2 linked regions of the Rattus norvegicus genome follow. The protein of the gene in region 1 purifies or fractionates together with the protein of each later gene. This does not show direct contact. Links are inferred from orthologs where the notes say so. Each region holds a gene or a part of one and is shown in the gene's direction. Other genes may lie near its edges.

Region 1 (4,715 bases):
AAAACAGACAGACTGACAGACAATAGGAATGGGCAGGACATTAATAACATGCACAGAAGGAAAGATGTCTTGTCTGGTTCTGGGCCCCGTTTGGGAGCGTTCACACTTTTTATTTGTCTTCATATTTTCTCTTTAGTTCCCCTGGACATTGTTTTAGGTTTAGGATTATTTGCTCCCTTGCATGCAGGAAAAAAGGATAAAGAATTACCTATGAGTGGTCAAATAATCTAATTCATCTGTGGAAAACCCACAATTCTTTAAGTCCCAGAAAAGACCAAGTGAATTACTACATCTCTAGAAAGTTCCTCAGGCATCAGTCAAGAACTTTAGAGGCTAATGTGTAGGGCACAAGTGGGATTTCCGGTAGGTAGGCAGTTTCCTTCTTTAGTCTTGGTTTCCTCAACGATGCTGGGTGATCACCCTATCTTTCATATTGGAAATATTTCCTAGTTCTGTTGGTGTGGTATTGACTTAACCTAAGTGTTCTAGGTCATGTCGACTTGACACACTGTTAAAGCATGATCAATATAATAATATACATGGAGCAAATGATGCTAAACACACAGCATTTATTCCTTAAGACTAATTATACATTTGTTGATTTTCTCCCAGGATACATTTATGCAATGTTCTATCATAGAAAGTCGTCAGTATTTTTTTCTACAGTGAAGGTTACTCATTCATTCAACATTCAGGTGATTACTATCAGAGCGCTAAAGGTGTTAAGCATGAGGCCCTGTCCTAGGAGACCTAGTTCAGCAGAGGTGCTTATCTATAAATAAGTACCCAAACTAGCTTTAAAGGTTAGAAACAAAATCAGGAGGTTGTTGGGGTAGAGAATGAAGGGAACACCGAAGTGAGAATTAAGAGAAGAGAAAGCGGGGCTAGAGAGATGGCTCAGCTATTAAGAGCACTTGCTGAGCTTCCAGAGGACCCAGTTCGGACTCCTGGTGCCCACTCACTGCTGTCTATAACTTCAGCTGCAGGGGATCCCAAGCCTCTGGCTTCCAAGAGCACCTGCTCTTACATACATGCACCTACCAACAGACAGACACACACCCAATGATATCAAAAAAGTTGCAACTAGATAAGCCGAGAGTGGTGGTGCACACCTTTGATCCCAGCATTACCGAGGCAGAGACAAGTGGGGCTAGCCTGGTCTACAGAACAAGTTCCAGGACAGTAAGGGCTACACATAGAAACCCTGCTTCGAAAACAAAACAAAACAAAATTACGATTTGAAAAAAAGAGAGAAGAGAAAGAATTCAGGCCTCGCAAATGGGGTCATAGTCATCTTATGCTTGTTAAAAATAGACTCCAATCTCTTCCACTGCAGGATGGATGCAGAGGCTAAAAAGCCTAGCTGCCAGCAGTAAGGATGGCTGACAAGGGGGCGGAGCGTGCGCGTCCCCGATTGGCCAACTGTAGAGTGACGTCACGAGGCGGAGCCTCTGGGTTCCCGGCCGCTCCTGGGTGGGGAGCGGCGCGGGCAGCGACCTGGCAGCTAGGCTCTGGGTCCCCGGTGCACGCTGGGGCTGGTGGGGACCGAGCGCCTCGTGGACGAGCATGGCGGGCTCGCTGCCTCCCTGCGTGGTTGACTGCGGCACCGGGTAAGAGCCGCGCCCACTCACGCTTCGCTGGGCGTCCTGAAGCCATTTCCCCGCGGGGTCAGACCGCTGGAGGAGCGCGGAGGGACGAAGCGCTGAGGGACAGAGCTCAGTCTGAGGGTTTGGGGAGTTTGAGGGATAGGGCTCAGTCTAGGGGTGGGGTGGGGAACTGTGGGGACGGAGCTCAATCTGAGGGCATAGAGAGCTAAGGGATGGGGCTCTGAGAAGATGGGGTGCTGAGGGCATGGGGCTGCGGGGTTGCCGGGTGGGCAGCACCTCGTGGGGATGTTGCTGCAGATGCTTTCGCTGCAGGTCTTGCACCTGAGAGCTCAGGGTCCGGCCCCCTTCCCCCCACGACTGCTCCCCCCCACCCCCATGGTGCTTGTCACCTGTCTTCATACTTTGCACTCATGGGCGTTTTACCTTTCTCTTCTGATGTACCAAGCACCTACTTGTGGAGATGTTTACACGTGCCTTGTCAACTTGACACCCTGTCCCCCTTCCCACTCTGCTCTTTTCCACTCTGAATGGCACAGCCAAGCCCAGCCCCTGCTTTGGTTTGCATGCACTCATCTTTGCTTTACACACACACACACACACACACACACACACACACACACACACACACACTGACCGATGCATTTAAAAAAGACTAACATTTTGAATAAAAAGTCTTCTTTTTTGGGAGGTAGATAGCTCTTTTCTTTTTGGAAGACGTTGATTTTTTTTTTTCAGAGGAGACCTTAAGCGTGGCTTATGCTGTCAGGCTTAGCTAATTTTAGGAAGGTGGCAACCAAGCCCTCCAACCTGGGGGTTTGGGAATACCTGCTGGCATTGCCGACAAAGTACTTCATAAATAGCCTGCAAATAAATTTAGCCTCTTAAAATGTTTTTCAAGGGATTGTAGTCCTTTGTCACCAAATAGTCTGTGGCATGTTCTCTTGCTATTCTTTCCTGTAGAAAAATATACTTGGTTTGGTTTCCTTGACAACCTTGTGGGGGTGTCTTCTAATTTGTTACAGTCCATCTCCTACTGATGTGTCTTTCCTTTTGGTACTCGGGAACCAGCAGTGATGCAGACTGGAAAAACATCCTTTATTTGTGCTAATTCTTCTTTTGGAAATACACGTTCTAGAGAAGTTTTGTTGCCCTGTATTTGAGAAGTTGCTTACTTCCAGACATGCTCAAAGCAGTAGGGCTCTCCCAGCCCACTCTGTATGTGCTGGCTCCCCTTACAGTCTCACCCTAACTGGTACTCCCTTCAGTCTGGTAGTGTCAGCAGTGAAGGCAATATGTAAAAGTTGTTTGTTTTAACGTCTGCGGGTGAGATTTTTGGTTGCTGAAATACGAAGCATTGTGCAGTGGTACAGCAAAACAGTTCTCCCCGGGTTTATAAACTGTGTTTTATTTCTTATTAGTAAGCTGAGATCTTACTCATTGTTCTTGCTATAAATATCTAAAGCATGCTCAGTTTTGACCTTTTGGGGTCAGTGATTAATGCTGCTGTCACCTCCAGTGGATCATCATGGCCCTGGGTGCCTCAGGGTGTCATCTGTGGGCTGTCATAGGCTCTGGACACAGTGCCAGGGACCTGGGGTTCCTATGGGGTGTTTTCTGCCATTGAAGCCCCTGTGGTTATCATGACTTCCTAGTGCTCAGTGTGTGAGCAGAAGGAAGGCTGCATAGCCTAAACGTGCCAGCTTCCATGTATTAGTAATTCTTGTATTTATTTTGGATTGAGTTTTTACCTCAGAATAGAACTAAATGTAAGATACAGCTGAAAATAGCAGGGGCTGGGGGACAGAATAGACTTGGGAGATCTCATTTTGGACCAAGTTATACCTCAGAATAGAACAGTGCAGCTAAAAATAGCAAGGGCTGAGGAACAGAATAGACTTGAGAGATCACGTGGGCACTGCTGATGAAATAAGTGGACAGATTTTTGTTTTGCATTGTGTTGTGTTGTTTTGATGGTGATAGGCGTCAAACCCAGCGATATTGGTAAGGGAAGCCTCTGCCACTGAATTGCACCCTGAGGTCCAGTCTTGTCCGTCTGTGTGCCCTCTCTGTTTCTCTGTCTTACTGTCTCTGTCTTTCTCTTAAATAGAGTCTTCTCATTGTATAACCCAAGCTTGAACTGGACTTGAAGAAATCCTCCTGCCTCAGCCTCCTAAGCGTTAGGATTACGGGTGTGAGCTAGCATGCTCATCTGGCCTGTGTTTTATAGGAAATACATTTCTTTTGTGACCTCGAGTCTGATGAGCTGCCAAGCTAGCTGAGTGGACACAGGCATGCTGGGGACAAGAGAGAAACAGACGAAGGTATCTGTGAGGCCCAAAATTAAGTCTCAACTATTTAAAGGCTGCTGAGCTCCCAGAGAAAACACCACAAACCCTGTCTCACATCTCACCCAAACGTTTAAGGTAGTTTTACACAGTTAAACCATCTTTGAAGTGATTCCAAGCTTACTGAGAACTGGGAGAGAGCAAATCTATTCTTCCAGGTTCAGCGGCTTTGAACGTCATGCCACCCAAGACTCCTGAATGTGCTCTTACTTTTCTGAGCTGCTTAAAAGAAGGTTGTTGGCATTACCCTCCTAGATTTCAGTGCCTACTTTCTGAGTGAGAGCAAGGATTTATATAATCCCAGACTCGTCAGAGAAGTTAACATGTGTGCAGCACTGCTGTTCCCTCTGCAGTCTGGACTTGGGAGCAGTTTCAGTTCTTGTCTTTTTTGGAGTCTAACCCTGTCTAGCAATTGCCTCAGACTTTGCATTTGGTGGTCATGTTTTTAAGGGGGTGGAGTGAGGGAGGGCCTGTTATGCAGCCCCTGCTTCAGCCTCCACACCTGATCATTACGTTAGTCGTGTCTCACAGCTTCTGGGATAGTTCCTCAGTCGTCTTTTTGATACTTTTATGTAGATGATGCCCCTCAGTTTTGGCTGTCTGGTGTTTCTGGTAGAGAGAGGTTGTGCAACTTTGTAAGGAGTCATAGCATCTGTTGCTCTTCCCTGGTGCATCCACCAAAAACCCTAGCACAGCATCTACCTCTTTCTTTAAAACGGGGTTTTTGTTTCTTTGTTGAGATAGGGTTTCTCTGTGTAGCCCT
Region 2 (4,198 bases), about 140 Mb from region 1:
GGTTGAAGTCAGGTAGGGAAGGAGGTCAGAGTGGGCTGAGGAGAACAGCTCCCAAGAACAAACCCTGTCCAAAGGGGGCAGAAATCCATGCTCTTGGATTGTCAGGATACCTTAAGTAACATTTGTCTTGTTGCTAGATGAATAGTTGTTCCTGATTTGGTTAATTCCAAAACAGGGTCATAGGGCTCCCATTCAAAACCCATGGGAGACGTACCCCAAAGTGTGCCCCATATCATGCATTACTGAGCCCACTGGCAGCTCCAGAAGATGTCACAGGATTTAGTTCCCAGAGATGATACCTCTAAACTTTATAATGTAAGGATCAAGACTTTTTTTTTTTTTTTTTTTACTTTCTATCTTTAATACTCTCAGACAACTTCGGCCTTTTTTACACCCATACACTCTGTATTTTGAAAGTATTCTTGACTGGTTTTCGTTTCACAAATAAATATTCTTCCTCTTTGAAATTTCACCTGGCAAGGAGATGATTTAAGACTGCTAATCCCTGGGGTTGGGGATTTAGCTCAGTGAAAGAGCGCTTGCCTAGGAAGTGCAAGGCCCTGGGTTCAGTCCCCAGCTCCGAAAAAAAGAACCAAAAAAAAGACTGCTAATCCCAGCACATGGGAGGCTAAGGCAAAAGAACCACGGGGAGGGGGCTGGAGAGATGGCTCAGTGGTTAAGACCACTGACTGTTCTTCCAGAGGACCTGAGTTCAAATCCCAGCAACCACGTGGTGGCTCACAACCATCTGTAATGAGAACTGATGCCCTCTTCTGGTGTGTCTGAAAACAGTTACATACATAAAATAAATAAATCTTTAAAAAAAAAGAACCACAGGGAGGGACAGCCAGCCTCAGCTACACAATAGGCTTCTTCAAGAAACCCAAAGAAGGGGCTGGGGATTTAGCTCAGTGGTAGAGCGCTTACCTAGGAAGCGCAAGGCCCTGGGTTCGGTCCCCAGCTCCGAAAAAAAAAAAAAAAAAAAAAAAAGAAACCCAAAGAAGCCAAGGGCGTACATCTGGGGTGTACATAGTTGAGATAAGCCACGTTACCACATTCGATGATAAAGGTATTCTTTTGCTGGGTATTAAACCCAGGTCCTTGGGTCATGCTAGGCACACACCTTACAGCTGAAGCAAAGCTCCATCTCCAAAGTAATTTCTATGGCATTAGGGTGCACTGTTATTTGAGATACATGATGAACTGTGTGTTATTACTTGATATACATGGTTTTCACTAGGCGTTTTCAAATGGTGACAGTTCATAGAGCACAGGTACCTTTAGAAACACATAGTCAATTGCATCAGCTTGGTTCTCTGATTCTGTGTTTTTAGGAGTAGCAAAGAACTCCTATTGCAACCTGTTACCATCAGCAGGAATGAGAAGGAAAAGGTTCTGATTGAAGGCTCCATCAATTCTGTCCGGGTCAGCATTGCTGTGAAACAGGTGAGTTACCAGGGAGGGAGGCAGAGTTAGGAGTGCTCTTTACAACCAAGGACCAGTGGAATGGTTAGAGAGCCAGAGTCAGAGCCTGTTTCCATGAATTTCCTTGGGATTATTGGCCCGAGAAAACAGGTATAGCCAAGTAAGGGGGCACATATTTGTAATCCTAGCATCTGGAAGGCTGAGACTGAAGAGGGAAAGCCCACGAACAGCCTGGGCTACTTGGTGAGTCCTATCTAAAATAAAATAGAAAGTGGGTCAGTAGAACACAACCACAGCAGCAGCCCTATCCTAGGGCTTGCTCTGGATCCCAAACAAGGAAATATGGCAGGCAAGGCCGTGGGGTCAGTTAGGTGTTGGAGCAGAGAAGGTTTCTAACAGGTGATGGCTATGTCTTCTTAGAGTAGTTCCAGCACTGGTTTGATAGTCAGTTTCTGAAACTGCCACTTCATTTAAAAATAGAAGGTACAACACATGCACATACAGAATTCTTTAAAAAAAAAAAACACCCAGACCGTCCAATTCTAGCTTGTCTTCCAGAAGCAGCTGTGTAGGCCAGCAGTGTGTGGGATGGGACATCCAGAGTCAGGAAAGAAAAATGCCAACAACTGTCAAAATTAAAGTTCTGTCTACCAATAATCACCCAGACAAATGTCATTTATTTTCTTTGTGTATTTTCTCTAGTAGTTTTCTAGTTGGAGGACATACTTGTAGGTCGCTTATCCATCTTGAGTTAGTTTTTGTATGTGGTGTAGATTGGTGTCTAGGGTCATGCTTCCACATTAGAATGTTCAGTCGTGAGAATAATTTGTTGGAGAAATCGTCACCATTGTGTGACCTTGGTGCTTTTGTTGGAATTCAGGGGATTATAAATATTTGAGTTTCATTCTGAGCTTTCTGTTCAATTCCAACTCATATATGTATAAGATAGAATTTCCATTCCTTTCCATATTTCTTTTTTTTTTTCTTTTTTCTTTTTCCTTTTTTCCGGAGCTGGGGACTGAACCCAGGGCCTTGCGCTTGCTAGGCAAGCGCTCTACCACTGAGCTAAATCCCCAACCCCTCCATATTTCTTTAGGCAGTGTTTCCCAAATGCCTACCACATCGATCTGGGCCTTTCTGTCTCTGACAGAAAACTCAAGTGGTTATTTAAAGTTTGTTTTAAATTTGAGCTCTATTTCTATTTCCACTTTGGGAAGAAACTATGTATCCTAAATGGAAAAAGAATAACATTTGCCCCTTCTCTGCAGACAACTCTCAAAATAGCAGTCAAAACAAAACAATGTTGCAAAATTCAGATTAGCTACTTCTTGCCTAGGAGAGCTTCAGGGTTAAAAAGACGAGGAGCAGGCAGCCGGCAGCGGGCATCTGATTACCCAGATGCAGGTGTAATTGGAAGAGCTGATTTGGTGGTTGTTGGATTTTAGTAATGTTGAAGCAGACACTCTTGAGGAAGTCTCCAATATCCACATCCCATGTGTCACTGGTGCTGAGAAAAACCACTAGTGTCCTGAGGGTATTCAGGAAGCTTGTAATACAGGTGTGGACTCCATTGGGACTGATGAGAGTCTGGTGTGAGATGCACTCAGTGATACTGGTTAAGGGAGACTGACCCTGGGAGGACTTCTTTTCATCATCAGCAGATGCTGTAATTCAAAGATCTTTGGTCCTGCCAAACCTTTCAGCAGTGTCTGTTAGCCTGGGGAGGCAATGGGACCAGAAAACCAGGCTCAGGGCAGTTTGGACATTAGTGTTGACTTTAAAAACTGTCTTTCTCTTTTGCTGTTGACAGGCTGATGAGATTGAGAAGATTTTATGCCATAAATTCATGCGCTTCATGATGATGCGAGCAGAGAACTTCTTTATCCTTCGAAGGAAACCTGTGGAGGTGAGACCTGTTTATTTGTAATTCCCAGGATTCTGTCTGCGTGTGCCCCAATGTTTGATTTTTGTAGTATTTGGGGATGGAACCCAAGGCCTTGCACTGCTGGACAGGTTACTGTGCTACACCCTGGTTCTGTAGGATTGCAGCCTTTGGGCTGCTGCTTCTGGTTAGGGTTTCACTGCCTGGGCTGAGTCAGCCCATACAGTGCCCTCCTCCTCCTCAGAACCTCGGGCCTAGTCCCAGACAAAACAGTGATTTTAGAATCCTTCCTGCTGTTGGTGGTGTGCATGCTTGTACAGCGTGGGGGTGGCTAAGGTGGGAGAATTGTGAGTTAGCAGTGAGGCTAGGCACACTGACATGGGGTAGTGTGGGGAACACAAAAGCCAAACAAAAACTTTCCTACCAACTGTGAAGTCCAGCCTCTCCGTGCCACAGTCAACAGTGAATTGCTTGTTGTCTGCCTTTGTACTTAAGGTACTGAAAGGTATGTCAGCTCCCTGCCAAGTCTCCCTGGTGACCTGGCAGACACCATCAGCCAACACACCGAGTGTCAGCCTCTGTGTTCTTCACCCTGCTCCCAGTCCTCACTCGAACCTCGGGGCCACTAGAGTGAGTGAGCCCTTCTTCCTCACACAGCTCCTGAAGCAAACAGCTCCAGTCCCATCCTTTTCCGTGTCAGTTTTCCTGTTGTTTTTACTATTGAATTGGCGTCTTTGAAATAAGACTTCTGGTTCCTTTACTCCCTTGGCTCATTTCAAATACAAGGCTATTTGTGCCACGAGGACATCTGGTCTGGCACACGATTTTGAATTGGGTTCAGTTGCTTGGGTCCAGCAGATGCACAAATGTACACTCGCCCCATACCCCAGC

Evidence for each region.
Region 2: the proteins of Actr3b (region 1) and Arpc4 purify together in Homo sapiens (affinity purification with mass spectrometry; 5 studies listed by BioGRID and IntAct, counting the BioPlex papers as one, with this or other methods). This does not show direct contact. The link is inferred for Rattus norvegicus from reciprocal best matches to the Homo sapiens genes ACTR3B and ARPC4.

What each region holds. Positions count from the first base shown.
Region 1 is NC_086022.1:10,086,151-10,090,865, reverse strand, and holds the start of Actr3b (actin-related protein 3B), read left to right. Parts: upstream 1-1,503; 5' UTR 1,504-1,566; coding exon 1,567-1,610; intron 1,611-4,715. UniProt on the Homo sapiens protein: Plays a role in the organization of the actin cytoskeleton.
Region 2 is NC_086022.1:148,080,576-148,084,773, forward strand, and holds part of Arpc4 (actin-related protein 2/3 complex subunit 4), read left to right. Parts: coding exon 1-12; intron 13-1,334; coding exon 1,335-1,446; intron 1,447-3,235; coding exon 3,236-3,331; intron 3,332-4,198. UniProt on the Homo sapiens protein: Actin-binding component of the Arp2/3 complex, a multiprotein complex that mediates actin polymerization upon stimulation by nucleation-promoting factor (NPF).